Linked DNA regions of Lonchura striata. The protein of the gene in region 4 interacts with the protein of the main gene of each other region in a biochemical or structural test. Links are inferred from orthologs where the notes say so. Each region holds a gene or a part of one and is shown on either strand. Other genes may lie near its edges.

The links.
Region 1: the proteins of PARP1 (region 4) and ERG form a complex in vitro, tested with the Homo sapiens proteins (2 studies listed by BioGRID and IntAct). The link is inferred for Lonchura striata from reciprocal best matches to the Homo sapiens genes PARP1 and ERG.
Region 2: the proteins of PARP1 (region 4) and APLF form a complex in vitro, tested with the Homo sapiens proteins (3 studies listed by BioGRID and IntAct, with this or other methods). The link is inferred for Lonchura striata from reciprocal best matches to the Homo sapiens genes PARP1 and APLF.
Region 3: of the proteins of PARP1 (region 4) and CHFR, one has a biochemical effect on the other in vitro, tested with the Homo sapiens proteins (2 studies listed by BioGRID). The link is inferred for Lonchura striata from reciprocal best matches to the Homo sapiens genes PARP1 and CHFR.

Annotation. Positions count from the first base shown.
Region 1 is NC_134604.1:114,219,174-114,227,164, reverse strand, and holds the start of ERG (transcriptional regulator ERG), read right to left. Parts: upstream 3,016-7,991; 5' UTR 2,905-3,015; coding exon 2,887-2,904; intron 1-2,886. UniProt on the Homo sapiens protein: Transcriptional regulator. May participate in transcriptional regulation through the recruitment of SETDB1 histone methyltransferase and subsequent modification of local chromatin structure.
Region 2 is NC_134605.1:3,027,583-3,034,557, reverse strand, and holds the start of APLF (aprataxin and PNK-like factor), read right to left. Parts: upstream 3,016-6,975; 5' UTR 2,900-3,015; intron 817-2,899; 5' UTR 767-816; coding exon 668-766; intron 23-667; coding exon 1-22. Other genes in the region: FBXO48 (F-box only protein 48), read left to right, coding at 3,770-4,021, 5,644-5,805. UniProt on the Homo sapiens protein: Histone chaperone involved in single-strand and double-strand DNA break repair.
Region 3 is NC_134620.1:8,516,184-8,524,046, reverse strand, and holds the start of CHFR (E3 ubiquitin-protein ligase CHFR), read left to right. Parts: upstream 1-4,857; 5' UTR 4,858-4,957; intron 4,958-5,294; 5' UTR 5,295-5,306; coding exon 5,307-5,442; intron 5,443-7,425; coding exon 7,426-7,525; intron 7,526-7,863. UniProt on the Homo sapiens protein: E3 ubiquitin-protein ligase that functions in the antephase checkpoint by actively delaying passage into mitosis in response to microtubule poisons.
Region 4 is NC_134605.1:17,698,411-17,706,396, forward strand, and holds the start of PARP1 (poly [ADP-ribose] polymerase 1), read right to left. Parts: upstream 3,017-7,986; 5' UTR 2,974-3,016; coding exon 2,854-2,973; intron 1-2,853. UniProt on the Homo sapiens protein: Poly-ADP-ribosyltransferase that mediates poly-ADP-ribosylation of proteins and plays a key role in DNA repair.

The DNA.
Region 1 (7,991 bases), on a different chromosome or scaffold from region 4:
AAAAAAAAAAAAAAGGCAAAACACAAACAAAAGACTGATGCCTAATTCAGGTATGTTCTAAAATTATATTTACAGTAATTAGTGTGACTAATAAATATAAATAATTGCATTTATTTGATAATGTTCAATGCTCTGTGCTGCTGTGCCACCACAGAGCTGTCAGACACCACCTGAGCCAGAGGGGAACCTGTCAGCACTGAAATCTTCACTCTAAGGGGTCTTTTTCCACTTGAAAAATCATGTTTCATCCTTAAAAATACCAAAAATACCTAACAGAGAGCTCAGTTGAGTGTGCTCCAGGTATTGGGATATGAAATATCAACCCAAAATCCTGGCTGGGCAGGCACCTTCTTGCACCACCTTCCTCTCCACAGCTTCTTGCACTGACCTCTCCCCATCCAAGGGAGAGATCCCTGGCCTGGGCAAGGCTGGTCCAGTGGGGAAGTCAGGATTAATATTATTTATCCATGTCTGAGCTTGGGGAAAAGGTGCTGCTGCCTCATCCTCCTCTTCCTCCTCCTTCTCTTTAGGACCATGGTTCTTTCCCCTTTCCAGGGAAAAAGGAGCAGGGGGCAGCAGGAGGAGGGCACGGGGTGAGGAGAGAGTGATCCCATGGGAAAACCCTGCTCAGGATGCCAAACCCAGCACCCAAAAAACTGAGAGCACCCAAAAAATGACAGCACCTGAAAACTGAGAGCACCCAAAAACTGAGAGCACCCAAAAACTGAGAGCAGGGTTTGCCTGCCCTGACCCCAGTGAACCCAGCCAGGTCCCTGCTGAGCCCCAGTGTCCCACGGGTCTGCTGCAGGGTGCTGAGAGGCAAAGGATGAGAGACACAAGCCTTTATATTAAATACTTATATAATTAAATATATATATGATGTGTAACACTTTAGCAAAAGCTAAACACACACCTGCCTGGCCTTCAAATGGAGGGTCTTTATTTCAGAAACCCTTCAGTTAAAAGGCTTTTTTATCCACTCCCCATAGAAGAGGAATTGAAAATCTTTGAACCGACTCAGCCTCATGTCAGAGCACATTTCCTGCACCTCGAGTACAAAGCACCTGTCATTTCTTTCCAGTCATTTCACATTTTGCACTTGCATAAATAAAATTTTAATTCTTGCTACAGCATGTAAGGCCTTTCCCAGCAGCCTGGGCAGTGAAATCCTCAACATTTTGGTTTGTCTGGGACCTCCTGCAAGATTCACACTCCAGATTAGGAGAGAGAATTTTTCCATTTTGCTGAGTACATTGTATTACCAGGCGGTATAAAACACTTCTCTAAGTGTAAGGAGGAGGTCAAATAACAACAATTAGATCTAATTTAACAATCTTCTAGTCTATTAAAATTCAGTCAATATGAAACATAAAGGAAATAAATAGCAGGAGTTACCTAAAATGCAAACGGCATCCGATCTTGTGGGTGCCATTATTTTTGAAAATAAATCTTGTATCAATATTCTGATTAACAGAAGCAAATGAGGTTTTCATTATGAAAACCTCAGCACACAGCCCTCCTTTAAGCCAAAATTTGACTCCCTGAAACTCAAGATTTTCATTAAGTGCCTGTCATGTCCTGCATGCTCTGAAATGCACGGCAAAACCAAAGGGAATTCAGTTTCAGGAGCTACTTAGCATTTAGCAGATGCTGGCCAGCAATGCAGAGGAGAGTCAGATCTATGTCACTATTGATAGCCCCATGAAAACATCAGTGATTACAAAAACAAAAGGTTCATTCGACTTTTTAATCACACTGCCCTCGGGCACTACTGTCAGATTCCCAAAACTGTAACAAAATGCACCAAATGATCTTTAAAATGTAAACACTGGAGCCAAGTTTACTGAAAAATCCAACTGCAGCCCTACTTATCCAACAGCCAGGCTATTCCATACCCCTCATTAAATCTCTGACATAATTAGAAAAGTGCAGAAACACACAATGCCACGAAGAAAGCAAATACCTCAGTCCTAAATCCGATAATACCTTGATCCCAAATCTGATAAAACAACACCGCAGAGTCCTCCCTGTCCGTGCTCTTTATGTAAAATTAGTTTCACTATCACAAATCGCTTAATTACCGTTACATTCTGCAATTAATCACAGTCATTGCCCTATTGGCAGATGCTGTCCAGAGAAACAAAACGTAGATAGACAGATTTATTCAACCTTATAAGTGACACAGCCACAAAAAACTCAACAAAGCCATTCTTAAAAAAAACCCCAAAAAACCCAAAGCCAACAAACCATGCACCGAGATCAACGTTATGCACCAAGAAGAGATTTTTATTGTCCAAAAAATTAAAAGATTAAAAAGAACACGCCCGTGAGATCTTCCCACCACCATTAAAATAACATTCAGAAAGGTCCCGAGTTTAAGGATACGAGTTTCTAGAAAAGCACATAATTAACACCTGCGTGAGAGAGAGAGAAACAAGAGCTGGTGCCTCTCCTTCCCATTTGTGTCCCCATCCGCAAGAGAAACATTTCAAAGTATCCAAAATTTAGTGCCCTTAGGAGCCCGGTTTTTCCTTCCAGTGCACACCCTCTCCCCTCATGGCAGAGCACAAACACATCCAAGTTGTCCGAGGGATACCTACAAGAAATTTCAGAAGCTCTCACAAAAGGGCTTCGTCTATGCAATCCACACCACTGAAGAGTGAATTTAAAAAACCCAATTTTTTTCCGAGTTTGAAGTTTTTAAGCCTTGCGGATGGTTGGAGTAGGAAAAAGGAAATTTACTAGGCAGTACAAAGGAAATCTTGTTGTCCTCTATTGTGGCAGTGGGGGTGTTGCCCAATTCTAACTTATCTAGGTTGATAAAGGAAACCAAAGAACGCGGCAGTGAGAAAAAAATTCCAGCAAAAAAAGGTACCCCCTCCTTACCTTAATAGTGCTTGCCATAATGTGATCAAGATTATTGATCGCTAATAATTGCTAATAATAATTATTGCTTCGCTCTGACCAGAAAGAAGTTTTGATGAGGTTGTTTAGAGCGGATGAGATTGTGCTAACTCTGGGAAATGAAGTCAGCCAATGGCAGGAAGAGGTTTCTATTGGTCCTGGCCACCGCAGCTCGAAGAAACAGGATATTTGGGAGTGAAGAGATAAGAGTCCTAAAACAATGTTGTTTTTCTTGATGATATGCGACTGAATTTTTTTTTTTTTAATTTTTTGGTTGTTTTTTTGGTGTTTTTTTAAACAAAAAAGTCAATTGCCCGTGGCCGCCTGGGCAGGTGTGATCTGATGTGCAGTAAGTGTGACAGGCCACTTCGAGGCAGGATGCAGATGTCAGATGAAATGGGCCAAATTCAGCAGTGGTTTGATGCAGGCTGTTCACTGGGGAATTGCTGATCCAGGGCCAAAGCCAGGCTGGGTAAAAATGGGTGTAACTCCAAATATGTTAATGAGGACTGGCCCTGCTTACTCCACATCTATATTTGTCCATGAACCTCATTCCTGCATTCCTGAGCTATTGACACTTTCCAGCCTATCTGATTTAGCACATTTTTTCCCTTAGAGAAGAAGCAGATAGGTTGGGGACAATAATTTCTTTTTGATGTCTCTTTCTTAGTGAGGAGAGGAAGTCACAAAATGACATAAAACTTCAAAAGCAGATGCCTGAATGACATAAGCAGTCCTAAATCTTCCATGTTCTTCCCTTAATTCACAGCTCTATCCATGAATGGAAATGAGATGGTTTCACTGGCAATTCCCTTCCTGCTTAGAGTGTGATGACTATTTTTTATTCAATGTTATATTTTTATTTGTTCTTTTGGAGCCCTTGGCAGTCGTGGGGCACCCCAAAATTTCCAGGTGTGCAGAAAAAACACTGTCCCTGTCCTAGGCTTTTGTATAAGAGACCAGAACTTTAAAAAAAAATATATGTAAGAAAGGCAAAGTGCTTCCACAGTACCAGCCAGGGTATTCCACTGAGGATTCAGTGCTGGCACAACCTTTTCACACTTAGGAGCCTCACAGATTTTTATGTTTTCATAAAAGATACAATTCCTGGTGTCAGGAGATTCTGAGCTTTCAGCCTGAAGAGAAAAGCTTGAAAATAGAACCCATAAAAAAGGGAGGAAAAATTAGAGCAAGTCAGAATTCATTCACTTTTTAAAAAACAACTTTATAAAGCTGGTCCTACTCTAACAGGTTTATAATTTCTCATTGCTCCCTGTGACAACACCTAACCATGGACAGGTTGCCTGGAAGATAATTCCAGTTGTAGTAAGGTCCTGACCTCTGACCAGGGACTCTGGTACAATAAAAAGAACAAGAAATAGTGAATGGCTCATTGCAGCATTATTTAGTGGAAGCAGATGACCTCACCCTCTCCCAACACTGCCTTTTCTTGCTTCTTAGGAAAAAAAAAAGGAAATGGGAGCGTTGTTCTGTAGCTGGTGGTGACTGCTGGCATTCAACACACAGTTTTTCTACACAAAGACAGCAGAAAGTCCCAGTTCACTTTTCCCCTCCTATCCTGAGCCAAGAAAGGTGAAATGCATTTTTCCGGAGGTGCACAAAGAGTCCTTCACTCATTTGTCCTGCAGGTGCTGCTCCATCTCCCCCAAAGCAGGGCAGAGCAAAGGCTCATCCACCCTCCCTGCTCGTGGGAACAGCCCTGCCAGATCCAGAAAATTCCCATTTCCAGGTGTCCCGTGGGGAGCACAGAGCTGGGAATCCCTGGATGCAGCAGTGACAAACAGAATCACCAAGGTGGGAAAAAGCTCCAAGATGGTCAAATCCAATCTTTGGGACACGGGATCAACTCCCTGCACAAGATCAGTTTGATTTTAGAGTTCACTTCAAGAAGCTCTGGATTCTTCCACTGTAAAGATTATTTTTCGTGGCTTCAGAGCAATCTGGAGGCAGCACTGCTATACAATATTTTATATTCTCCACTAGCTGGTTCATGTAGAAATGCAGTGTTGCACTGCTGAATGTGCTCTTGCAGTCTATATCCACCAAATTATGGCGCTCCTGCAGAGTAGGTAACTTTCCTATTTTCATTATGAACAGTATGAAAAGAAAGCAATTTATAGTAATTGTATTTCATGGGGATGTTGATTTCCTCCCTTTTCATCTCCAAACAATGAGCAAGACAGCCAAAAGATTAGAACCTTTCTCTTGAAATTTCAAAGCATTGTATAATGTTTCAGTTGGGTGACTTCCACTCCAGTTAAGCCCCTGATATTTTGGGCTTTTCCTCCAATATATCAAGAGGTTGCAAGTATCAGTTCCAGCTCCCCAGTGGAGAGGATCTAACAAATTCATCCACAAGCAGTTTTTAGTAATGATTCTTCTCCATCCCACCTCCATTTACACAAACCTCCTCTTGGTTTACACAAGGATTTTGGAAGCATAAGGAGCACCGCTGAGCTCTATTATTATTATATAAGTATTACAGAGCCCACGGCCCAGTAAGGATTTTGCCATTTTAATCTGGCACACATTTTGTGCCAAAGAATCCAGTGCAGTTTATTTGACTTTCAAACTAATACCCACAGGCAGATTTCTGAGTGCTTACGCTGAGGCTGATCCAATTGCAAGCAGAGCCTTGGTACTGTGAGGCAAGGAAAATATTGGGTTATCAAATCACCATCATCCAGTTGCAAGAGAAAAAAGAGAACAAACACTTCCATAATTTTTATCTTTTCTGATTTTTTTAAGGTTAAATAGAAAGAAAAAATGCTTTTGTTTTGTTAGGCAACTCTGTATTATTGTCTGAAACAACGCTCTGTGAGTTTGAAAAACTTGGTCATCAAACAGAACAAAAACAGGAAAAAAAATCCACACAAATCACCCAATGCTCCCCTCAAATTTCTCTCTGAAGCTTGTCACCCTAATTTGTCCTGCCTCCTTTGAGCTGGAATATTGTCCTACCTTCAGCCTGCACCTGGAAACCATGGAGCAGCAAAATTTCCCAACATGTGTTAACACTGAACATGTGCTTAAGTGTCTTGATCAAAGCAGGGCAGTTGCACATACTTTAGAGTTACAGCTGTGCTTAAACTCTTTCCTGAACACCCTTAAACTCTGCTTGAAGTGTTTTCTACCTTTAGGACTCAAGAGTTCCCTCTTAAGTGCAAGATCTTTTCAAGGAAGGATCCAATCTATGCTGATCTGAGCCTGCTTAAACCAACAGGGCCCTGGACAGACCTGAAGATTTGGTTTGATCATGCAAAAAAAAAAAAAAAAAATCAGACAGAGTTCTAAATGAAGAAGATGGAACTCCAAATAGAAAAGCTGCTTTGCTTGTTGCATCCTTTCTAGGATGTACTAGAAATATGCTCACTATGTGTGTACTCACCTAAACACGTAAAATGCATTTTACATGGGTTCAGATGAGTGACTTGTCACAAAGGCATGGAGTGACAGGAAACAGAGAATGGCTTCAAACTGAGAGCAGGTTTAGATGGGATGTTGGGAATTAGGAATTGTTCCCTGGCAGGGTGGGCAGGGGCTGGGATGGAATTCCCAGATTCCCCTGGATCCCTGGCAGTGCCCAAGGCCAGGCTGGACACTGGGGCTTGGAGCAGTCTGGGACAGTGGGAGGTGTCACTGCCCACAGCAGGGAGTTGAAATTACAAGATCTTTAAGATCCCTTCCAATCCAAACCATTCCAGGATTCCATGAAATATGAAGGAAATACATTGCAATATTCCCTGTGTAAATAGATCTGCAATCCTTCTTGCTGGGAGGTAAAGCAAGAACTCTGCTCTGGGCTAACACACTCTGCTGTGGTAATAAGGTGACCTTCATCCCTTGAACTGTACAAAAATCTTCGGGTAAATAGTTGGAAAACTGGAGACACATTCACCTTTATGTTGTGCTTGGTATGGTACATACCGTGTCTGCAGATGAGGGTATTAAAAGACAAGACAGCAGAGAAAAAAAAAAGAGTTTTGTTCCTCTCACCAACCTTCCACGTAAAAAGAAAAGAACACTCTCCTCAAGGTATAACCAGTCTACAAAGCAGAAAACTGAAGGCAGAATAAAAGAATTTGCACTGCAGCTTTTGGAAGCAGATTTTAAGAAGTCCAAGCAAATTACTGGTACTTCATGGCACATGAAGACACATGTAAAGGTCTCAATCCTCTCAAAAAAAATCAGCATTTTGCTCAAATAAAGCTCCCAACATCAGTTTGGCCCTGCCCAGTTTGCTGTGTGAAGGTCAAGTACACTCTTCAGCCAGGTTGTCTCCCTTTAATTCCCAGTTTTCCATGGGCTCTGATGAAAATATCAGTGAATCTGCTCACAGAGGGGTAAAATCTCCTCTCACCACAAAGAAAAGTCTCACAATCAGAGTTTTAACAGTGAAACAAATGTGTGCCCAAGAGAGAAAGGAATTCCAGTATGGGGCTGCAGGATCCTGGGAAAATTCCATCCTGGGAAAAAAGGGATCAAGCTCTGGGATGGAGGTCAGCTCCAGGAGGAAGGCACTTGAATTCCCCAAAATCCAAACACCACGTGGACATCACCAGCCCATAAAGGCACATCATTAAAATAATTATCACTACCTGATCACGGGGATGACACGACTTGCATCCCACAAAAAAATCTCCTCTGGCACTGCTCCCAAGCTTTTGTGCCTCTCCATTCCCTCCCTGGCAGCACAGAGGAGGGGCAGGGAATGTCCCCATGCCTTTCCCTGTTCCCTGCCCTGTGGGCAGCCCTGTGGTCACTAGATGGTGCTCCCTGCCCCTGAAAGGAGCATCCTCCACTCCAGGCAACGAACAGCTCTTTCCCAAGTCAGCACTGATGTCTTTCAGTAAAGAAAATGCTTTAAAAAAGGATTTTTTTCCTGCTGCCCTGGCACCCCCCATCACTCTGCACCCTGTGCTCAGGGCTGGTTGTCCTTAGTGCATTCCCACTTTTGCTTCCCTTTAACTGCTCCAAACCATGTGGACCATCAATCCCTCCATGACTTTTCCCCCGTCCTCACCTTCCCTCCTCTCACAATGAATTCACTCACCGGCAGAACTGAA
Region 2 (6,975 bases), about 15 Mb from region 4:
CATTATCGTCAGACAGAGGAACCTGAAAGAACATTTACTGTTTAGTGCCTTTATCCAGTTACAGAAGAGTGGGGGGAAGCCAGACCACAGTTTGCACTCAGTTATGTCCTCCAAAAGCAGCCTGGGTAACAACCTACTTTTTGTATGGTGGCCATTGCTCAAGTATTTTACTTTTTTTTTGCAGTTTCCATCCACTCAGAAAAACAACATTTATAGGAAACTTTGTGCAGTAAAAACAAAAGAAAATAAAACAGAATATTCTTAGATATTTGGAATAAATATCTAAAAGGCTACAAACTGAAGGATTCATAGAAGAGCTTTACCACCACCTTGCTCTAGTTTCCCTACATATATAAAACAGAAAGAGCAAGTTTAACAAAAGCCTATTTGTCCAAGAAAAAAAAAGGCAAAAACCTGCAAACATAAAAGTCTTTTTTGCATTGCTACAATTTATTTCTCCAGAAAGTAATCAGATTCTAAATCTCTGAGTCACATTCATTATTTACTGAAAACAACACTATCCTTTTGGATTTCCTGAGCAAGTCCACCCCCAGGATCGCAACCACAACAAAGGCTGACATTTCATTTGTATAGAGAACATAACACCTCCTTAACTTCCAACACATGCTTACAAATATTAAACTTCATTAAAAACTTAAACACCCACCAAAAATCTGGAGGCAGCATCATTATTCCTCATTTTTGCGGCTCCCTCTACCTCAGAGCTGGAACATGCTGGTTCCATTAACAATGGAATACAGGACATCTCAACAGCATGAACAGTTGGTGCTTCTGCATCAGCCTCCTGATTTTTTTCTGACAAAACAAAAAACGATTTTATCTACTCACACGCTGCAAATATAAACATGCACTTTTGACTCAAACACAAAAGTTGGTCTGAATGTTTGCCATTAACAAATGCAGTTTGAAACTGACCATCAACATCCTCTTAGCATCAGCTTACAGAGGAAATAAATGCACCTTCCTTTTACCTCACACCTAAAGTTTTGACCAAAAGACTCTCTAATAACTGCCGACCACGACTGTGGTGTTTTGGGGTTTAAGTACATAATTTACACTGGTTGCTGCCATGACAAAACTTTGAGAAAGCTGAAACTGCATCTCAGAATTTGCTTTATGGTAAATCTTCACAACTCCCCAAAATCTGATCCAATCCTAAAAGTCAGGCAACGATTTTAGGATTTCAGGACCAGATGCCCAATGAATCAAGCAAGTTCTCCATACAGGCTATCGAGGAGACACTAGATACACCGGTGCTAGTCTCAAAAGCCTCAGTTCAGAGCCACTACGTCTAAAAAGCTTTTTAGGTTATGAAAGCACACCCAAACTGTAACTGTTTTTCTTTCAACACGTTGCCCTTACACTACTCAATGCACCAGCACAAAAGATCAGGGGAAAACGAGTCTAATTGGTGCAGTATTGCCTGCAGAGAAGCACTGGGGTGTCTCTGCCAACCTGCTGAAGACCACCCTAAGTCACGGGGTGGCTTTGTGTGGTGAAAAAATCTTCTCCTCCAACCCGTGCTTCCAAAGAGAGGCTCAGCAGTTTCTTGTTGTTTGGTCTCATGGTAGTTTATTGCAAGTTATCTAAAAGATTTTCTCCTTGGGCTGCTGTGGTTTGCTCACAGCTCAGGCAGAGGCACACACACACCCTGACATCCTCTCTGACTCCCGACTGCTTCTTCTCTCCCACCCAGGGCTGCTGCTGTCTTTTATATGGGACATTACGTGTTACATGTTTACAGTTCTTCCCCAATGCCTATTACCTATATTAAATGGTGATATTCTATCTTTTATATGGTACATTACATGTTACATGTTCACAGTTTTCCCCAATGCCTATTACCTGTATTAAATGGTGCTTTTCTACTCTAAACCAATCTGTGAGTGCCAACATCACCAAGAACATGGAGGTAAGGAAGAAGAAAGAGGGAGGACAGGGCAGGCCCAAATCCCTCCATCTTAAAACCTCTGACCCCCATGTACAAAACAGAAACCCCCCTGTACAGCACGCAAAAATTCTTCCCTCTACTTTGTAACTACTTCTACTCTAATATCTAAACTTTTGTGACTTCTTGTTCTTCCTGCCAGGCTGGTAAACTGTTCCACAGCTCAAACCCAAAATCACAGCTGTTTGCAGCTGCCTGCCAGGGTCTCAAATGCTTCTGACCTGGTCCTGGAACCTCCTGAAATGTCTGAGGGACATTTTGAGTTCTGACACCAACCCTTCCAGAACTTGCTGTACTGCAGAGAGCACACACTGACCAGCTGAACTTTCTCTTTGTCACCCTGAGAAGAGAAGCACCAAAGGCTGAGCTCTGCCTTATTCCTCCAGCTCTGCAGGGTCTCACAAAGCTCCAGGATGGGCGAGGTTCAGCAGAACCACAGCGGGACATCCAGCCCCAGCTCCCTGCTCAAGAAGGGTAATCCCAGAACACATGGCACGGGATGGCATCCAGATGGTTCTGGAGTATCCCACTGAGAGATATTCCCACTCCTCAGCCTCTCTGGGCAATCTGTTCCACGTGCAGCCACTGCACAGTAAAGAAGTTCTTCCTTATAGCCAGGTGGAACTTCTGTGCATCAGTATCTGCCCACTGCCTCCTGTCCCATAGTTCTGCACCGGTGGGCACAGCCCGGTCCATTCTTTTGGCACTTTTAGACACTTATACTGATGAATGAGGTCCACTCTCAGCTGTCTCTTTCCGAAGCTGATCAGGCCCAGCTCCCCCAGCCTTTCCTCCCACGAGAGATGCTCCACTCCCAAACATCCCCGCTGCTGGAGCCGAGCTCTCCCTGCCCCTTCCACCCGCGCCGGAGCCGCCTCGGGGCTCCAGCGGTGCCCTCGGAACCCCTGAGCGGGGCCGGGCCGGCCTCACCTCCAGGCTGCCGGAGCCGCCGGGACGGGCACGGAGCTGCTGCCGAGGGTGGCAGGGACCAGCGGGACGGGCACGGAGCTGCTGCCGAGGGTGGCAGGGACGGGCACGGAGCTGCTGCCGAGGGTGGCAGGGACCAGCGGGACGGGCACGGAGCTGCTGCCGAGCCCCGCGGGAACCGCCGGGACAGGCACGGAGGTGCTGCCGAGCCCCGCCGGGACGGGCACGGAGCCGCCGCCGAGCTTCGCAGGAGCTACCGAGACGGGGCCGGAGCCGCTGCCGAGCCCCACGGGAACCGCCGGGATGGGGCCGGAGGTGCTGCCGAGCCCCGCCGGGACGGGCACGGAGATGCTGCCGAGGGCGGCAGGGACCGCCGGGACGGGCACGGAGCCGCCGCCGAGCCCCGCGGGAACCGCCGGGACGGGCACGGAGCTGCTGCCGAGCCCCACAGGAACCACCGGGACGGGCACGGAGCCGCTGTCGAGCCCTACAGGAGCCACCGGGACGGGCGCGGAGCCGCCGCCGAGCCCCGCGGGAACCACCGGGACGGGCACGGAGCCGCCGCCGAGCCCCACCGGGACGGACACCGAGCCGCCGCCGAGCCCCGCCGGGACGGGCACCGAGCCGCCGCCGAGCCCCGCGGGAGCCGCCGCCGGCTGATGACGCGCGGCCGCCCCGTGACGCGCGGTTCCCCGGGCCGCCCGGCGGCGCCGCCTCCGCGGAGCCGAACGCGCGGAGCCTCGGGCCGGGGGCAGCGCCCCGCGGGCCCGCCCGCCCCGGGACATGGCGGCAGGCGGGCGGCTGGCACACGGCGCTGCCGGCGGCGGCCGCCCGCGCTCGGAGGGGCCGCAGTGACGCCTCGCCGCCGCGGGGATGGACCGCGGCAGCGCCGAGGGGGGAAGAGGAGGAGCGGGCGACTTGGTGTCTGCCCTTCCTCCCGAGATCAGCTGCCGGATTTTCAGCGGGCTGGACGTGGAGAGCCTGTGCCGCGCCTCCGTGGCGTGCAAGGGCTGGCACCGCCTCATCGAGGGCAGCGAGCGGCTGTGGCGGCAGCACTGCCTGGCCGTGCGCGCCGTCTGCCAGCGGGAGATCGACTGCGACCGCGGGCACGGCTACTCCTGGAAGGTAAGAACGCCTCCGGCCGCCCCACGCCGGCAGCGACACGGGCGAGGATGCCCAGGGCCAATGGAAAAGTGCAAGGAAGTGACATCAAGCCTGTCGCGCCCGTCCCGGGGTGGTGGCGGGGGATGCGCGCAGCGTGGCTCGGAGCGCATCCCGGAGCGCATCCCGGCAGGCGGACAGCTGGGAATGAATATACTGGGAATAAAGCAAGGCTGGCCCTTTTCCCACCCGGGATACAGCCTGCCCGCCTCGCATTAGTCGTCTTTCACGGGGCAAAGGCCACATTCCCGCAGGCAGGGAGAATGGACTCAACTCCGATAGGCAGCGTCTGCTCTCTGGTTGTATTTTCTGTCTTTTGTATTTTCTGCTGGTTAGGAAAGACTTCCTGAAAAAGCATCCTGGATAGCGCTGTCTCAATGCATCTCAAGTGAGACGCATTCAGGAAAAAAAAAAAAAAAGAAAAAAAAAAAAAAAAAAAAAAGGGACTAGAAAAGGAAATGTGTCACCCTGATTCTTAAAATTTTCTAAAGCCTTCTGAGTTTACATTCTGTTAGAAAACTTTCCCACACATTTTCTATAAACAACATATTCTTTTACATTCCTTCGTGAGAGTAGAGGAAGTTGACATACTAGTAGTTTGTCCAATGTCTTTGGAGAGGTGGCCCATTCACTCTCCAATCCACTGTCACCTTTAAAAAAGTATAAAAGTTGGAGTCAGAAAATAAACCTTCTTTTTTACCTTGCCATCGCAGTGGCTCATGTTGTACTTTCTCGTGTCCTATAGCAACAGAAATGAGCAGGAGTTTTTATAAACTTTTTAGAAAATCGCCCCAGATGCAGACTGCTCTGAGGAGTTTGCAGCAGGTGCAGCTTCAGAACCTGCTGGATGATCTCTCACTGATGAATCCAGCCTGGAAGCTGAGATAGATCAGAACCTGATCAGGTAGACCAGGTCACTGGTTCCACAGGTTACTCTGGGCCAGCTATAGGGTAATCTCCCACCTTATTTAAGCTGGTGTGTTTGAGGGGTGAAAAGAGAGAAGCAGCCGCAAAAGAAACAAAAGCAGCCACTGGATTCTGACATTTCAATAAATTTTCTGCAGTATGAGGCAGAGCCATGAGCAGATAGTGGTTACCCTTTCAGTGTACAGATCTTGCTACCCTAGCACAGCAATTTTCAGAACTCCCTGTGCTGATTGTCAGTTTTATCTGGAGGGGATTTGAAATACAATCTACAAACACACCCAGTCTACATTTTCTTGCCCTTAAAGGCTGGCAGAAGAAAAGAACCCAGCCGGCCTCCAAACCAAAGAAAGGTCACAACCTAAACAGAAAGTGAAAGGTGCCTTTTTTAAGGAGTAAGAGGAATTCCTGGTTTGGGTTTTCATCTTGACCACTAAAGAATTGAGGCAGGAACAGAAAAGTTGGAAGTGGAACATGTTCTGCTTCTCGGCAGCATTGCACCTTCCTGGGCTTAAGGTCTAGATATCCAAAGGCACATTCCAAATCCCAAAGGCACATTACAAATCCCTTTTCCAGCACTATTCTTCTAGTATAATCTTGCAATATTGATTGCATTTTAAATTGGTTCCTTTCTGAGATCTGTCTCTATGTTTTTCCACCAGATTACACTGTTGAGAAACTACTGGAAAAGCAAAGTGAAGCAAGAATGGCTAAGTGGGAAATACAGCAACATTCCTTCTCAATTCAGTTTGCCAGACAAAAGCATGTATCCAATGGATGTCGACACGTGGGGAGAAATCTTGGAAGCAGAACTTGAGAGATGATAAACCAGTGCTGATTCTTGCAACTCAGAAAACTTTTGCCAATAGCAGTCACACCGTTCAGCAGTTGTGAAACTGATTTTGAACTGATTATGAATTTATGATGAAAACTTCTCCAAAAGAAAGTTACGGGTGTCTTTTTTTTAATTTGCATTTTACTGTATTAATTTTATGCAAAATTCTAAAGGCAACTAAATCTTCAGTTGTAATTTATATTTATAAATTTAATGTTCTACTGCACTGTCAAAAATATGCTGATTATCGTTTCAGTTTGCACTTTTTGTTTTGGAAGAGATGATTTTTATATTATAAAAAAAAAACAAAAAAAAAAAAAAAACAAAAAAAAAAACCCACCCTAAGGTGTGTTTGACCTTTTGATATGAAATGTATTGTATCAGCAGCACATGAGAGCTTACAGAAGTAGGCTGGGGAAGGGGCAAATCCAGACACTGGAAAGAATCCTCTGGGCAGCAATGCTCGTTCCCCTCCAAGCCAAAAACGAGAGAACGAGGAGCTGAGCCCAGCCCCTCACTAAAATCTCCCCCTTTCAAAGGAAAAAAACTCCTCACCTATAAGAGTGCACCCCCTCCCCCTTGGCTACATGTTTTGTCTCTCTTAAGTACCATTATTATAATTTTTTAGGCAATAGACGGGAGAAAAATCCTTGAGAGAAAAAGGGAAACAAAAAAAAAAGAAAAATCCTAACCTCCAACAAGTGTAACTCAGAGTAAAGAGCATTCCTAAATACAGAGGATGTAGCAAAAAGATCAATTGCAAACACTGCTTCTGCTATTGTTAGCTGTTCTGCTGCAAGATTGTTAGTGCAAATTAAAGAAAAAATAAAACCAGCAGAAAAAGGCACACCCAAGCACATTGAGGGTACTGCTTCACTCCCTGCTCACAGAATGTTTTACCCTGATTGAAGAGAGTATAAAGTGTAAAAAGTGCATCTAAGTTAATAAAGAAGAAAACATTTCTAGCAGTACATTCTCTTCACCTCAAAACTGCCCCGTTTTTTAATCATAACATAGGGAAACTGCACAATAATGGATCTGGTCCCTCACCTTTCTCATCCAGCCTTCACTGTTACCTCCAGTCTGTAACTCCCTGACATTTATCCCCTATTCCTGCTCCTCTCATGCTCTTCTGCTGTAAATTCTCATGTATTTGTCT
Region 3 (7,863 bases), on a different chromosome or scaffold from region 4:
TTTCAGTAATATTTCTGTGGGAAGCAGAATGTCTTGACTGTGTGATTATTTTAGCTGCTGTGTAGATAAAAGAAAAACATGAGCAGTGAAATGTTGAAAAGGTTTTGATATTATTATATGACTTCTCAACAATTTTCTTTTTTTTTTTTTTCCTTGCTCCTTTGACTGGAAATAGTGATTAGATCAATTTCCCTAAGAGTAAAGCAGTTGCCTGTTCAAGGCATAGTTTCTGTTTTAAGTGACAGATTTCTCTTTTCCGAGCCAGTGAAACTTCTCCTCTGCTCTAATGACATTTACAACCATCCTACTCATTGCTGACATTCCCTGCAGACCTATTGAAAACCTGATGACACTCCTGACCATGTTTTCTCCAGCTTTTCTGTGTCATTTTAGTTCTTGTGTCCAGGTTTCTGTCCTTATTCATAACACACACAGCTGCCACTGCATTTTTTACTTCTTCCTTCCCCAAGGTCTCTTTTTTTCAAAGGCTGAGATGGATGCATTTCTCCACTCAGCCACTCTTAAAGCTCTTTTCTGAGGGATGTAGCCTACCTGAACTCGGCAGAACATGTGTGTGACCTTAATTGTAGGAGCAGTCAGCAGTTTCTGACTTCAGGAGAGTTTTGTAAGTAAACAGCTGAAAAATTTCACTCTGGACACTGGAGCCTTTGGCTCAGACTGGAGGGGTGCATCACTCACAAGGCACTTTGAAATGTGCAGGATGGACGCTTCTCTCCTTGGTGTGGATAACTCACACATTTTTATTTTCCAGTGGTGTTAATCTGGCACCCCCTGGAGGATGCATATTTCAAAACACTCAAAGGAAAGAAATACTTAAAAAACCCCCTTTGATGCAATCAGTTCTGCATCCAGACTGTAAATTTTCCCAATTTTCTATGGATTCTTTGCAGAAATACTAATGTAATTTTTCTGTAGGTAGGCTTTCATCCTGAGATAATATATACAATTTTTCTTCCTTAGACTAAACATGTCAATCTAAGATTTACTGATGAAGTGCTGGAGGATTTCTCAAACTTCATGAATTATGTGATCAAAAAGAAAACTTGGACTGTCACCTATAAATGACAAGAAGAACCATTAAAAAGGTCCGTGTGAATCTGGTACAAGAAAAGTGAGAGTAAGTGTATGTCCATATGCTTGTGGCTAGTGTGGGCTCCTGTCAGGTAAGATGGGGGAGGACTTTACTGTAGGGCTGAGCCTGGATCTGCAAAAAACCCCAAACCCATGTCTTGGAAAACCTAAGGCTATCAGGAATAGTTCCATTTATCAAATCAAGTGGAATTGGTTTCTTTATTAGACAGAAGAGACCATCTTCTGGGACTTGCAAGCTGCCTACAGAGTTTGATGTTTGGAAACTAAAAAGTGCCAAAGGCAAGAATTTGAACTGCTTTCCCCCAACAGCCTGGGGAGAAAAAGGGAGTAAATAATGCCAAAAGATGTATTTGTATTGCTTTAAATTCCATTTGAATGTAACAAAATAGTTGTTAGCAATTTCTAAGTGTCAATAAGGTTTGTTTTAAATATTATTATTATTATTATTATTACTACTACTATTACTATTACTATTACTATTACTATTACTATTACTATTACTATTACTATTACTATTACTATTACTATTATTATCTCTCTTTGGGAAATACCTGGCTGCATTTACAGAGTGATTTCAAAGACAACTGGGAGTGTTGTTGATCAGTGAAGCTCACTGGGGAAGTGTGAACAACAGTTGCATTATTTTTGATCTCTGTTTACCAGTTGGGCACAGAGCAGCCTCTCCTCATTGCTCCTTCTCCCCCAGCAACAAAGCTCAGCCATGGTCCCTGCAGAGAGGATCTTCTCCCTGGGAACTGCATTGTTTCATTAGCTCCCCTGTGCATGATTTTGGTGTGTTGGTTTTGTTTGCTTTCCTCTTAATTTCCCAGGGAGTCCTTCCTTTGACTTATTGCTGCTTAACTTTGTAATTAATGAGTAATTCCATACTGGTTTTCCCCACTCTGAAAGTGTCCTAAACACTAGGAGTGGTCAGTAATGGATGTCTAGAAAAGGACATAAGTGGCACTTTTCTTTCCTTTTCATGTGATGTCTCTGGCTGCCTTCCTGTCTCTACCACATAATAAGGAAGAAATCTGAGGCTGGTTGCCTGACTAGGAAAACCCCTCATGTTGTCCAAGTTGCTTTTTCCTGATCTGATATTAATAATTTGATATTGCTTTCTCCAGAAGTGAAAAAAAAAAAAAAAAAAAAATTGAGGAGAAAATTAAATAGCACCAGTTTTTCTGAATGTTATCTACTGGGTGATAGAGAGCTTCAAACATTAATGCAATACAAATGCATTTGAACATTTACAATAGGATTTGAGTAGCTGCCTTCAGGTCCTTTTCAACTGAACTCATTTTTATATTGTACTTCATAAGGATGGCCTAAATTTCTTTTGCTAGAACTAGTATCAGAGGTGACAGTTTCTAGCTTGTACCCCTCCATCCACGATGGGGTATTTTCAAACTGCTGGTTTGTGTATCACTACTTGTGGGGAAAAAAGAAGTAATATTTATAGCTTCTTTTTCTGCTGGTATATGTATACCTACACAGTTCAGAGCCTGAAAACTAATTCCATCTAGAATGAGCTTGAATAAAGCTAGGAACAAAGAGGAGGGGGAGGTATATTGCTAAACAAACATTAACTGAGGGAACAGATGGGAAAGGTGATCTCTAGAAAGAGATCCTCTCCATTTTGCCCAGCTTTGGAGGGTGACAAGTACAAAATGGGGCTGTTGAGAGATGGATTACTTGGAATGTGGGATAAAACTACCCTGAGCTGGGAGAGAAATGTGGTGATTGTACATGGAGAGCAGTTACAGCAGTCAACTGCACACAGCAGATCAGTACATCTCTAATTATTATTTGTCTGGCTGGCTAAGCAGTGCAGCATTTAAAACCTAATTTGTTGTATAATTTAATTTTAATTGAGTCTCCTATCCACACAGGACTCGTTAAGCTAGCTGTATGTTTCACTTGCTGTCTTTTTACATGGATACTATGGGAGAGCTGCAGGAGCTGAACCAATCGTGTCCTCGCTCTGTGCTATCGCCGAGGTGCAGTAATTCCTTGCTATGATTGCAGAGGGATCTCTTGGCAGGAATATTTGGAAAATACGTTTTCTCAGTGCCACAATATAACAAAACAACTTCCTCTCTCAGCTAATGCTACAGTTTACACAAAAGATTTGGTCGTTGGGTTGTTAGTTGCATCTCCCATGTGCTGGTATTTTCCTCTGCCACTCAGAGATAACAATTACCAGTCACTGTGAGCAGTAATAAAAATGAAGCACCATGACAATGCTTTTGAGTGATTGTAACTTCCATTGATGTGCTTCTCTTCAAATGTATAAATGGCTTTATTCCTCAGCGAGGACAATGTTGAAAGCAAGCAGGGTTTTACAGACAAATCCTTTTGGAGGAATGTAGACATTCAGGTCTCAAAGAACTATTTTTTCATACTATTATTACTAAGGGAAGAGTTATAGACTAAGGTCAGTAACACAAAGCTCTTAAGTACATTCATCAATTTTGACTCGTGTTCTTATATATTTTTCTCACCTGGGGCTCATGTGATTGGGACTGTGGAACAATACTGTGTTGGGTATCAGTTAAAACTGCAGATCCAAACACGGCTTGGATCTGCAGTTTTTAAATAATTTTGCTTCTATCAGTGGTCCTGTCCAGATGTTTTGCACAGGCTGGTGTTACTGTGAGGTTTCTGTGGCCGAGGGGATCTGCAGGGCTTCCAGGAAAGGTAAAAAAGCAAAATCTGAGAGCTCAAGCCTGTGAACCAAGTGAGAGTATCAAGACCAAGAACTGCAAGTGGGTTTGTTTTTTAATGTTTTATTTCCATATTTTTTGTCTTCTCACTTAATTCAAACTTCAAAATAATTTAAGTGAAGGGGGAAAAAGGAGTCACTGCCTTTGTATAATTTAAGAAGTAGGGACATTCAGGATAGTTCAGCTTCTTGCTCTTGTTTTGATGAACATAAAACTGTTTGAAGTCCTTCAGATGAATAAGATAAAGAGATCTGTCACTAGAAGGATGCTGCGCAAAAGGACCACAATTCATTTGGCTAGAAAGCCACTTTATACGGGGTGCTAATTGGCGTAAAAAAACCCATGGTGCACGTGGTACAAATGTCCCAGGAAACAGAAATGAAAGCGGTATAAACGAGCGGATCAACAAGTGCACAGCAGGGACACTGTTTTACACAAAGGACCACCAAATGGAGGACATGGAAACGAGGTGTCCGATGCGATAACAGAGACAAGTGATAAGTCTCAAGGTTCGGGAAGCTCTTGTCCCGATAATGCCGGGGTTTACTTTGTAAGAGTCTCCTGAGTGAAACTGGGGGTGCCCCTCCGTGCGTGACCCCTCCACCAGCGGACACCGATCCTGCCTCAGTCCGAGCTGGCTTTTTTAAAGCCTGGCCCTAGAACAGCAGGGTGTGTTCTTTATTTAGCCGCTGCTGCTTGCTCAACAGCCAAGAGTTAAACTACGACAATTTTTCAGGGGATCCAGAGACCGCTGAAACGACCTCAGCTGGCCCCCGGCACGCACGGTCGCGGTGAGGCGACGGATTTGCCCGTAACAAAGATGGCGTCGCGCAGCCTGTCCCGCCAACACCCAGCATGCCTGCCCACACACAAGATGGCCGCCAAGGCGTCACCGCCGCCTCAGCCCCTCCACAGCCCGGGTTTTCCCTACGGGCGGCGCGCGGCGCGGCCTCACCGGAAGCGGCGGCGCTCCGGCCGGCGCGGCGCGGCTCGGTGGCGGGCGGCGGAAGGGCCGCCCCGCGCGGCGCGCCGGCCAATGGGCGCGCGGGCCCGCCCCGGCCGCACCAGCTGGAGGGGCGATGTCTGTTGACAGGAGCCGCCCGGGCCGCGGCGCTGCGGTGAGGGGCCGGGCCGGGCCGGGCAGCGGGGCCGCCGCACCCCGGCCCCGCCGGCCGCGCCAGGGAAGGCAGCGGACGATGGCGGCTCCCCGCTGTCTCCCCCGCTCGGTCCGCTCGGGCGGGGAGAGGCGCGGGGAAGGGGCCGGGCTGGCTGCGGGGGGCCGAGGCGCAGGGAGGGAGGGAGGGTTTGCGGCGCCGCACAAAAGGGAGCGGCGGGGCCGGGGCAGCCGCGGGCATGCGGGAGGGATGCGGGGTAGCGGGGGTGCCGGGCAGCGCTGTGCCGGCCCGGGTGCCGTGTGGTGACGGGGTTTGCGCTCGCTTTGTTTGTTTGTGTCAGATGTGAATCCAAATGGAGCGGTCGGAAGGAGGCGAGCAGAGCCAGCAGCAGCCGCAGCCCTGGGGGAAGCTGATCCGGCTGGGTGCCGATGAGGCGGAGCCGCACGTCCTGCTGCTGAAAAGAGAATGGACCATTGGGCGCAAGAAAGGTGGGACGGGGACGCGCTGCGCTGGCCTGGGGCGGTGCTCGGGGGACAGCGGCCATCCCCCTGCTGGCCTTTACAGCTTGGAAGCGGACTGAAACTAGTTGGGTTTGACTGAAACTAGTTGGGTTTGGTGCTTTCAGCTGTTGGAGGTGCTTGCCAGGCCCCCCGCCCCCTATTCCCAATTTACCTCTTAGCTGTGTGAATATGTAGTTTTATGCTGACCTTTTGTTTTCAGTAACTTGTGGCACGTTTCGAAGTCAGTGTCCCTTTTAGGTAGTCTGTGGCAGTTTGTATAAATAAGGAAACCCCCACCCCCTATTCCCAATTTACCTCTTAGCTGTGTGAATATGTAGTTTTATGCTGACCTTTTGTTTTCAGTAACTTGTGGCACGTTTCGAAGTCAGTGTCCCTTTTAGGTAGTCTGTGGCAGCTTGTATAAATAAGGAAACCCGGTTGTTGATTCAGAAGTTTCTGTGTTTCAGGTTTGTTTGTGTTCTAGTTTCATTTCTGTGGTTAAAATAAATTGGAAATGCAATGCAAAATGCTTCGGCTTCACAGAGAAGAAAACACCCACATAAAAGCCCTTAATTCTTCTGGCCATATAAAGACTGCCAACAAGTACTGAAAGTTCTCTGAGAGTCGATTTGAAAGCTTTTTTCCCAGAGTCTAGGACTTGTACTACTTCCCTTTATTTTAAAGGATTTCATGCTCACTGTATTTGAAAGAAGGACTGAAGTTTTTAAACTTCCTTTTATGCTGCCTTGACAGTGCTGATTTTCTTTTTCCTGTTTGTCAGTTCAAGCTGTTTGGCTGATCAGTCACTTCCTGTAAATAGCTGTGAACAAACACCAGATGCTATAGCTCTATGACAAAGGCAGACAGTGTCTTGCAGGAAAAATGTTTTGCAAATTTACAGTTGGTGGTATCTATTGAGATTGCTTATCATTTATCTGTGGGTAAATTCTTCAAGCTGACGTCTGTTTGAGGGTTGTCTGGCAGAAAATAAAAGGTGAAATCTTTCTTGTTTAGTTGCTTTCATAGCTGTTTGCTAATGGCTTAGTTGAATGGATGGTTACTAGAATACCAAATTGTGATTTATAAGCAATATGAGGTAGTGCCTGCTGCTTTCCTGCTGGATCTGTTGTTGAGATCAGTTCACCCACAGTGTGAATAGGTAGAGGGGAATCATGATTGTTAGTTATAACTTTGGTGTAAGCTAGTGCTTTGAGTCCTTTGTGAGAGATCAGTGGAGAACCTTGAGTGTTGCTTTAAATATTCAATGTTAAAGTGAGGTAAAAAGACAAGATTTTCTCAGAGCCCTTGAGTTGTAGGTAGGAAGGTTTTTATTGCATTGTCATTACACTTCTCCTGTGTATCCCTAAATCTTAGTCCTGGATTTGTAATTCTCTTCAGCTTTATTAACATAATAATGTCAAGAGAGATGAGGAAAACTTTCCTGTTTAAAAAACAAACAAATGACTGTAAGATAGAACAGTGATAATAATTTTTACATATTTTTCTTTTAACAATTATTGGTTCCTACCACTTCCCCCCAATACACCAGAATAGAACAGAAGTTAAATTCAATGAAACAGCATTACTATGATGTGGGAAAAGAGCTGAGTGCTGTGGCATGTGCCTTTAGGAGTTAAATTGAGCACTTCAGATATGTGTGGATATTTCTGTAGCGCTCTAGAAAAGAGTTATTGTGATTTGATTTCCATCTTTGAGGGCTAGGACTGGGGGGAAAAAGGAATTGAAACATCTTCACATGGTTGAAATGGTTATATCAGCACATGGGGCTATCTCACCACTTGTATTTATGTGTTTCACACTGGGCTGTGTTGCTGCCTGTGTGACAGCAGAAGTTTTGAACTATTGCAGATGTACATGAGTCAGTTTATGTTGCATTTATAGCCATGTAGAATGCTGATCTGACTGTGTAATGTGTATTTTTAAGCTTGCTGGAAAATCTTTCTTTTTAAGGCTGTGACTTATCTTTCCCTGGCAACAAGTTGGTGTCTGGAGATCACTGTAAAATCATAGTGGATGAAGAGTCTGGTCAAGTGTCATTGGAAGACACAAGGTTGGTTTCTCAGAATGTTTTTGGAGGTACTGTTGTCAAAAGCTCAGCAGGTATTTAATACTAACCCTGAGATACCATAATAGCATATTTAATTGCCTTCTGGGTTGAAACAGGGATTCGACATGATATCCTTCAAAACCTCAAATGCGAAACTTTCCTCTTTATCTTTGTATATCATGGGCACATTCTGCTGACCTGCCAAAGTGCCCCTGATGGCAGCTCTGCCCCCGCTTTGTTGTCATCTGCAAATGTCATTAGGTGTATTCCCTCTCCTCTTCAGGTTGTAATTAAAGATAGGTCCAGGATATCCAGGATAGACTCCTGCAGGGTTTACACTC
Region 4 (7,986 bases):
GCCCCACACCAAGCACTTGTTTTGCAAGTACCCAACGTGTTTAAAACTCAGACACAGCAGGTACCATCTTGGCATTGCTCCAGTTACCCACCAGGCAAAATAACCGTACAGTGGTTTGGCGCCAAATAACACACACAAACAGCTGCTGTACTGACAATACTCAGTGCTGTACAATTACTATTACTGATGATACAGAACTAACCACCTAGGAAAGCCTTCCACGTGTCACTCACTAACAGGAAGGAGATCTCCAACCCAAAAACAACAGCAGAGCTTTGTGCATGAGGAGGAAGGAAAAGGAAAGGGCTTTGAAGACCACAGCATGGAGCCAGGAGAGCTGAGAGCCCAAACTACAACCAACCATCTACCCAAACTGTAAGAGGACATTTTTATTTCCAGATGGGCTCTTCCCACAAGCCAGGACTGGATACCCAGTTACCCTCACAGCACCACAGCAGCCACCCTGCAGTCGCTCTCAATGTCTCTCTAAGTTGTCACATGTGATTTTGGCACTGCAATGTGGACACCTCTGGGTTTTGTCTAGAGTTTTGCAGGAGGACTCAGGGCTGTTCCCAGCACAAAGGCTTTGAGGGCACAAGGCACTGATGAGAACAAAAGTGAGCAGAGCTAGCTCAATCTTTAAGACAACAATACAAGCAGTGAGTAATCTCCTCAACATGGAGTTTCAGACTCTTCTCTGTGTGGAAAATGAAACCTCTAGGCAAGCTGGGCCTTGTTTAAACTACATCTCTCAGCTCACCTATCTCTAGACCATAGTTTCCTAAACAAACTAAGGAAAAAAGAGACCGATTCACTTTCATAGTGCACTTTCAGATAACAGAAACCACTCAGTTCCAGCTGGAAGCAAAAGACAAAGCTGTGCTGGTCCTGCAGGGCCTGGGCGCCTGCCTAGCACCCAGAATCCCACTGTCATTCACAGCTCTTCACTTGAGGAACCAAAACAAAAGGGAAGTTACAGCAGACACAACTAAGGCTTTGGTCTGTATCTCTCTTTAATTTCTTCAGCACAATTTGCAGAAGAGCTCAATGCACTGACGCTGGCACAGAGGCTGCTCTGCAGGGGATTTCCCGAGGAAAAAGCAGGGGACCCGTTTGCTCTGGTGAAATTCAGGCATTTACAGCAGGATGCTCAGCAGCAGGATGTGATCTGCTGGTACAAGAACGGGCAGAGGGAAGAGCAAGCAAATTCAAGAGGTTATGGGGAAAATAAATAAAAATACAAATGTTTGGTGCAAGACCGCCAGTTTTAGGGATATGTCTGGAAATGAAAGGCAGTGGCTCTGTGAGGAATGTCGGTCCCCAGGGGCTCACTCCATAAACCGAACCCTAGAGAACCAGAACACAACTCCTGCCCCCCGTACTGGTGAAGGGCAACCCGCCTCGCATCAGCCTCAACTGCTGGGCAAGACAGGAAGGAGTAACAAACGTGAGGAAGCCGAGGAGCAGCAGCCGGAGCAGGGGAGGAGGAGCAGCTCCAGGCTGAGTGCAGCGGGGGAGACAAAAGGACAGGCAGCAGGACCACGTGCGAGCAAACGCTGCAGCTTGGCACCGCACGGTCCCGCATCTTCCCCAAGGGGAGGAGGATCTGGGGAACAAAGGCAGAGGCAGGTATTTCCCCTCCGGGACAGCAGCTTTGCCTCCAACCCCGACAGACCTGCCAGCCCCGCCCGGCAGCGCGGGCGAGGAGGGACCGGGCCCTTCCTCCCCGCCCCGTACAAGCGGAGCCTCTCCCAGAGGCACAAGCGAGCTACATCCTCCAAACCCGGCTCCTCGGGCGGCCGGGAGCCACAGCATCCATCCATCCACCCACCCATCCCTCCATCCGCAGGGCTTTGCGCTGCCACGTCCTTGCTCGCCTTCTGCAGGCACACAAGTATGCCTTTGCTAACCTTTCACAGCAACACCCCCTAACTCAGCCCGCCCCCAGCACGCTGCAGGCGCACCCTCCCCTCTGCCCTGATGCAGCCACCGGGACAGAGTCCCCCCTCCCCGGACAGCGGCGTGAGCCTCCCGTGCGGAGGGCGATTCCCTCCGCATCCTCCCGCAGCAGGCTGTGATGCCGGGTCCGCGCACAGCTCCCAGCCCCCAACAGGACAGGGCTCTTCCCTTCCTTCCAAAAGTAAGCCGAGCAGTCTCTTCCCCAAAAGGCAAATAATAGCATGCGGGCGGCGGAGAGCAAACAGTGCCTCCGCAGCCCGTTCGCCAATTGCGGTCAGCGGTCTCACGCCTGCCATGTGCCAGCCAGCCCAGCGAGAGCCCCGGGCCCGGCCGCTGATGCTGCGGCCCCGGGGGCTGCCCCACACCTCTCACAGCTGCCGGGCCGCAGTTCCTCTGTCTCGTAGGCAAAGCGCGCACCGAGCGGGGATTCCCCGGCGCCGACACCGAGCGCTGCGAGCCGCAGACGCTTCCCGGGGCTTTCCTCGGAGAAAAGCCGAGCCGCGGAGCTCGGCTCGCCCCCGGACGGCAACAAAGCGCCTCTGTGCGCGCCCGCGGGCCGCCCCCCGGCCCCGCCACGGCCACGAACGGTGACCTTTGCACCGCTTCGGCTCAGCCGCCACTGCAGCCCGCGGGAGCGGGGGAAGCGGCTCCCCCCGCCCGGGAGCGCTGCGGGCAGGGCTGCCCCGGGCACCGGCGCTGCTGCGGACACGCTGCGCCTCTGTTAAAAATAGGCTGCGCTCGCCCCCGCAGCAGCGAAAGGCGCGGCCGAGCGGCTCCGGGATACCGCGGCGGGCGGAGGGAGCGGAATCCCGCGCTGGCCCCGCCGCCGGCGGTACCCAGCGGATCGGCCGGATCAGCCCGCCCCCCTCCCGCGGCGGCCCCGCCACGCGGTACCTGCACCATGAGCGCCAGGCGCAGCGAGTCCTTGGCGATGCTCTCGCCGCACTTCTTGCAGGAGGCGCGGCCGCTCTTGGCATACTCGGCCCGGTACAGCTTCTCCGCCGGCTCCGCCATCGCCGCCGCTCCCGCTCCCGCCGCCGCGCCCCGCCCCGCGCCGCGCCGCGCCGCGCGCCCGCCGCGACCCCGCCCCGCGCGCCCGCCGCGACCCCGCCCGCGGCAGCGCCAGCCGAGCGCCGAGCCCGTACCATGCCTCACCAACCGGGCGGATCGTCCTCTCGGGCATCGATTGCGCGTGTCTGGAGGTTCCTCCGGTGTATCAATGGGAGGCGGGCGCGGCGGCGCGTCCCGTGCTGCGCCCTCGAGGCCGCGGGTTCGGGCCGCGCCGCCACCCCGCGCCCCCACCCGCGCCCGAGCGACACCGAGCGGGCTCCCGCCTCTTGGGGAGCCTGAGCTCAGCAGCTCTCCCGCAGACAAATACTGGCCTCGTGATGCCGTTTCCAGGCGGGCGTTCCGGTGGTGCCCAGCGACAGGACGAGGAGCGATGGCCGTAAACACGAGAATCTCCCCCCGCCATGAGCAAGGAGGGCTGTACATGAGGGTGACAGAGCACCGGAACAGCCGCGCAGGGGGCCGTGGAGTTCTTCTCTGCAGAGAGCCAAAACCCCCCGGACCCGCTGCTGTGTCACCTGCTCCCGGTGACCCTGCCTGGGCGTGGGGCTGGACTGGTGATCTCCAAAGGTCCCTTCCAACCGTGACAGTTCTGTCACTGTTTCCTCCAGCCCCTGGGGATAACAGTGGGGCTGCTGACGAAATCAAAGAAGAGTGCTTTGACAAATTAAATCAGGATTTTTTTTTTTCCTACTCACAGTAGATAATTATCCTCTACTATCAGCAGAGGGCATTAGCTCTGCAGCCTCCCTGGAGGAAGGTAGAGGAGAACACTGAAGTTACTCCAAACCCAAGTATTTGTCATTAATCTTATAGAGATTCTGAAATTAGGGTTCAACTGAAGCAGCATGTGCAGCCCTGGGTGGGCTTCAGGCAGCCTGCAGGTGTCACTCAGAGCTGCACACCAGCATCTCAGCAAGCCTGAGATGCTGACACACCTTGTATCCTGTGCTGTCCTTCTCCAGGCTCTCACACGTGTGCTGCGCAGGGTTTGACTTCAGTGCGAGCCCCCCACCAGCCTGGGGCTATCGGCGTGCCCGGGAGGACAGGCTGGGTCCTGGTACATCACTGCGGATTTGGGGAAGGACGAAAAGGAATCCCTGCGACGCACTAGATGGTGCTGCGAGCACACAGACAGCCGGGTGCTCCACACAGCAGAATCTTCGCTCTTGCTGATCACTCCTTCCAGGAGTTCCTGGCCCAGACACCAGTGGTTCAGAGACAGATCAGTTTGGTCCCACCCTGCGGAAAAGTGGGGAGAAAACGCAGGAGAGTTCATCTGGATGACATGGTGGCTTTCACTCCTAAGAAAGGGAGCCCCGTCCAAACACTAAAATGCTGCTCTGCAACTGGCAGCCTAGACACTTGCAGAGGATCTGTAAGATGTCATGAAGAGCAGTACACAGACATTCACAGGCTTGCAAGCATAAAAACAAGCAAAGAAAGTGACTGTAACAAATGGCTGTTCTAAGCTTAACCTTGTTTTTTTTCCAGTTATGAGCACATACTACATTAGCACTACTCCAAATGGGGTTTAGTGGATTTTCTTTTTTGAAAGGGGTAGGTGGTTCTGCTTGAAAGGATCAGGCTCAAAGCTCCGGGCACTTAACCTTTCAGCCTTACTTGAGAATTCCACAGTAGTTTGTCTGGCCACAACCAGTGTGTTGCTTTGAAACAGGAACGTCTAAATAGCAGGAATTACATTGTTATGGTTCTTCTTATGGCGGTGTAATTTCCTCTGTAGGCTAAGTGTCATCCTGATGTGTGGTGTCAAGAGTTGCCAAATCATGTTAGTCCCATAAATCTATTGATCTCAACAGAGCTGCCTTGCTCTCTGTCTTCCCAAGTGTGACATGTGGATCACAGGACATCCCTTCCACTCTCCCAGGGCCGTGGGGGACCAGTGAGTCAGTGCTAACACAAACAGCACAGAGGATACCAAGTTTTGTAAAACAGGGAATGCTTTGGCAGAAGCTGAGAGAAGTGGCATCTGCAAGGCCACTTTTCTGGGGAATCATAATCCCTTTAAGTAAATCCAGTTTTTCCAGAGCCCTCATATTTAGCTGCTGCATTTTACCAGAGAGAAAGAACTTTGTGATCCCTCACATTCCTTTCTAACAATATTCCCATCTCAGTGGACTGATTACTTCTGGGATCCTGTTGGATGACGAGTTCTGCACCAATGTGTGAGACCAATTTGTTTTTCCTCTCTGTGACCAAAGTAGAACTCATGGTTATCCTCAGAGGTGTTTTGATTATCTCCATATACTGACACTCAGATGCCAAACTGGCTGCTGGTGCTTGCAGATCAGCATTTCCCAGTATCCAGCCCAAATCTCACACATGCCCCTGGGCTCCCACAGCTCACTGTGCTGTGGACAGGAGCGTAGGTGAGGAAGGGGGTGTAATCAAAAGGTCTGCTGTGCAGGCTTCATCATAAATGTCAGGCTATTTGGAATTTTCTTAATGCTTCTGTTTCTGCAATCTCACCTCTAGAATGCCCCTGGAGAACAGCAATTTCTGTTCTCCAGAGGCAAAGCACACAGAAACAGTAAAGAAGAAAAGAATGGTCCAAGAAACCCCAGCTATGGCAATTTTGAGTGTCTCAGACTGTGAAATTCAGTGTCAAGCATTCAGGTGCCTGGCTTGCGACTTCAAGGCACCACAAAGAATTACATTTTCTTTTCTGGGCAATTTTGCATTAGATTCCTCTGAAAGGCAGAGGGAAGTAGGTCAAATTCTGGCACCAGGAAGACATAAGTTGATCTCTTCAGTGTCACAGGACCAAATGCTTCCCCTCAGATTGTGCTGACAGAAACCTGAGCACTGAATCTTCCAGACTGTCTTGCTTTGGGCTCCATTTCTCACACATGCTTGAGATATCTCCCTGCAAGATTTCCACCCTGCTAAGCATCTTACAAAGGGTGAGAAAATGTTGGACATATACAGGGAAGACGATCACTTACAGCCTGTAGGGGCGTCAGAACTGTTCTTGCTCAAGCCTGGATTTGTTGCTACAGGAGACTTTGTATTATCTGGTTTTGATATCTGATAGCTTGAGAGTTTTGTAACAAAACACCCTTCAGTGCTAGGTTATCCTGTCTGTGTTGATGACCCACTTTTTCATGCCACTGCACATAATCAGTGTGGCTGGGATGACCCTGTTTGCATCCATGCAGGAGGCTACAGGCAGCCACTGCTGTGGCTCAGCTGTGCCTTCTTGCTCATGCAAGTGATCATCCCACTGGCATCCCTGAGACTACACCAGTGGGAAAGGGATGTGAGATCGTGCACCCCCATCTAACTGAGCATCTTACTGTCTTTTCTTTCCATGGAATAAATCAGAGGGCTTATTGTTCTGTCTGGGGGATCTAAAATATGTTTTGAATAGCTCAATAACTTCCCATGGTTCCTCTCTCCTGGGTGATCATTAACATATGCAATCTCTTTGGCTTTATTTAGAATTTATTTAGAATTTAGAGTGCTCCTGCTGGGCAGAGGTGCCCAGAGCTGGCCTCCTTCTCAGTCCCCCTAAATAATTTTGCACTACAGACCAGCACAGAGGTCTGTGTGAAGCAGCTCTGGTGGTTCCTCTGTTCTTTAGAAAGGTCCCTTAAATAAACCTGCTTTTTCAGCTTTCCAGATGCCCAGGAAAGTAGATGTAGGAAGAGACAAGGGAGGAGGAGCAACAGCATTTCAGACTGCCGGGGAACATGACTGAGTAGCTTTCTTTCAGTAAATTCAGTGGTGTGACTACATATCCTGAGTCTAGGGAAGATAATATTCCAAAGCCAGTGGCAGAGCCAAGTGCAGCCACAGTACTTGCCACAGTTAGTACCTGGGTGCTTGCCAGGCTTTGAGGTTGTTCACCCTGACATTATCCCCACACAGGAAAGGCCATTATCCCTGTTTTACTGTCCCCATGTGGCAACTGAGACACAAATCATTATGCAATGAAATTAGAGAGTGGGAAATTAAAAAAAGGGTAAAAGGAGATTTGTTCTCATGGCAAGTTAATTAAACTAGAGCCTACAGCCAAAGGCAGATGTTGTGGCAAAGTAATGCTGAAAGGAATTGTTTAGAGTTTTCTTAATTGCAAATGCTAAAAGGGACATAAAAGAGTGAGCTTTGGAGATAAAGTCCATACCTAATTTATGATGACAGTGAGGAGACATAACTTGGGGAAGAGATGATCTTCAGTCTCACCATGGGTCCTTCACTTGAAATGCTCAGCCCAGTGAGCTGGAGAGAGAGGAGCACCTGCCATGGGCAGCTGTGGTCCATTCTTGATTTCTGCTATCTGCCAACAAGAATGAAAAATCACACCCAAGGGAAAAGCAGAGTCTCCAAAACCTTGAGCTAATCCCACAGCCACAGTCAGCCTTTGGCAGAGTTTGTGAGAAATGATGGCAAACTCCCTCAAGGGCTACCTGGCTACCTTTTTTGTGTCAATGCTGCCTGTTAGCTTGTTCTCCCACCTGTGTTCCCAAGCATCATCTTTCCCCTTTGTAGTGCAGTGGGGCTGTTAATCATCCTGCCTGTGTGGATGCCACTTGTAAAAGGCTCTGCTCCTGGAAGGAGGCACCAGCTGCAGCACTGAAAATGTTCAAGAGCAGAAACAAGGAGAGAGATTTGGAAAGTTCATGCTCAGAGATCTGTATGTGCCAATCCCAAGCTACAACCTTATGGATGAGTTTAATTAAGGATGGCAGCTTCCTCATCTGAAGTTGTAATCCCAAATACATGTTGTCTCCACATAGGCTCGAAGCCAAGCTGTGACTCCTGACTAGAGCACCCCAGGGCAGATGGCCTCATCCCTGGGGCAGATACCTTCCCTACCTGTGCCATCAGTCTGGGTATCTTCTGGCCCAGAAGAGCTGCCAAAATACATATTGGGCATCACAAGATACCAGCTAGAGAGTCTGCATATGGTTCCAGTTTGGGTCCTTGAAAATGAAT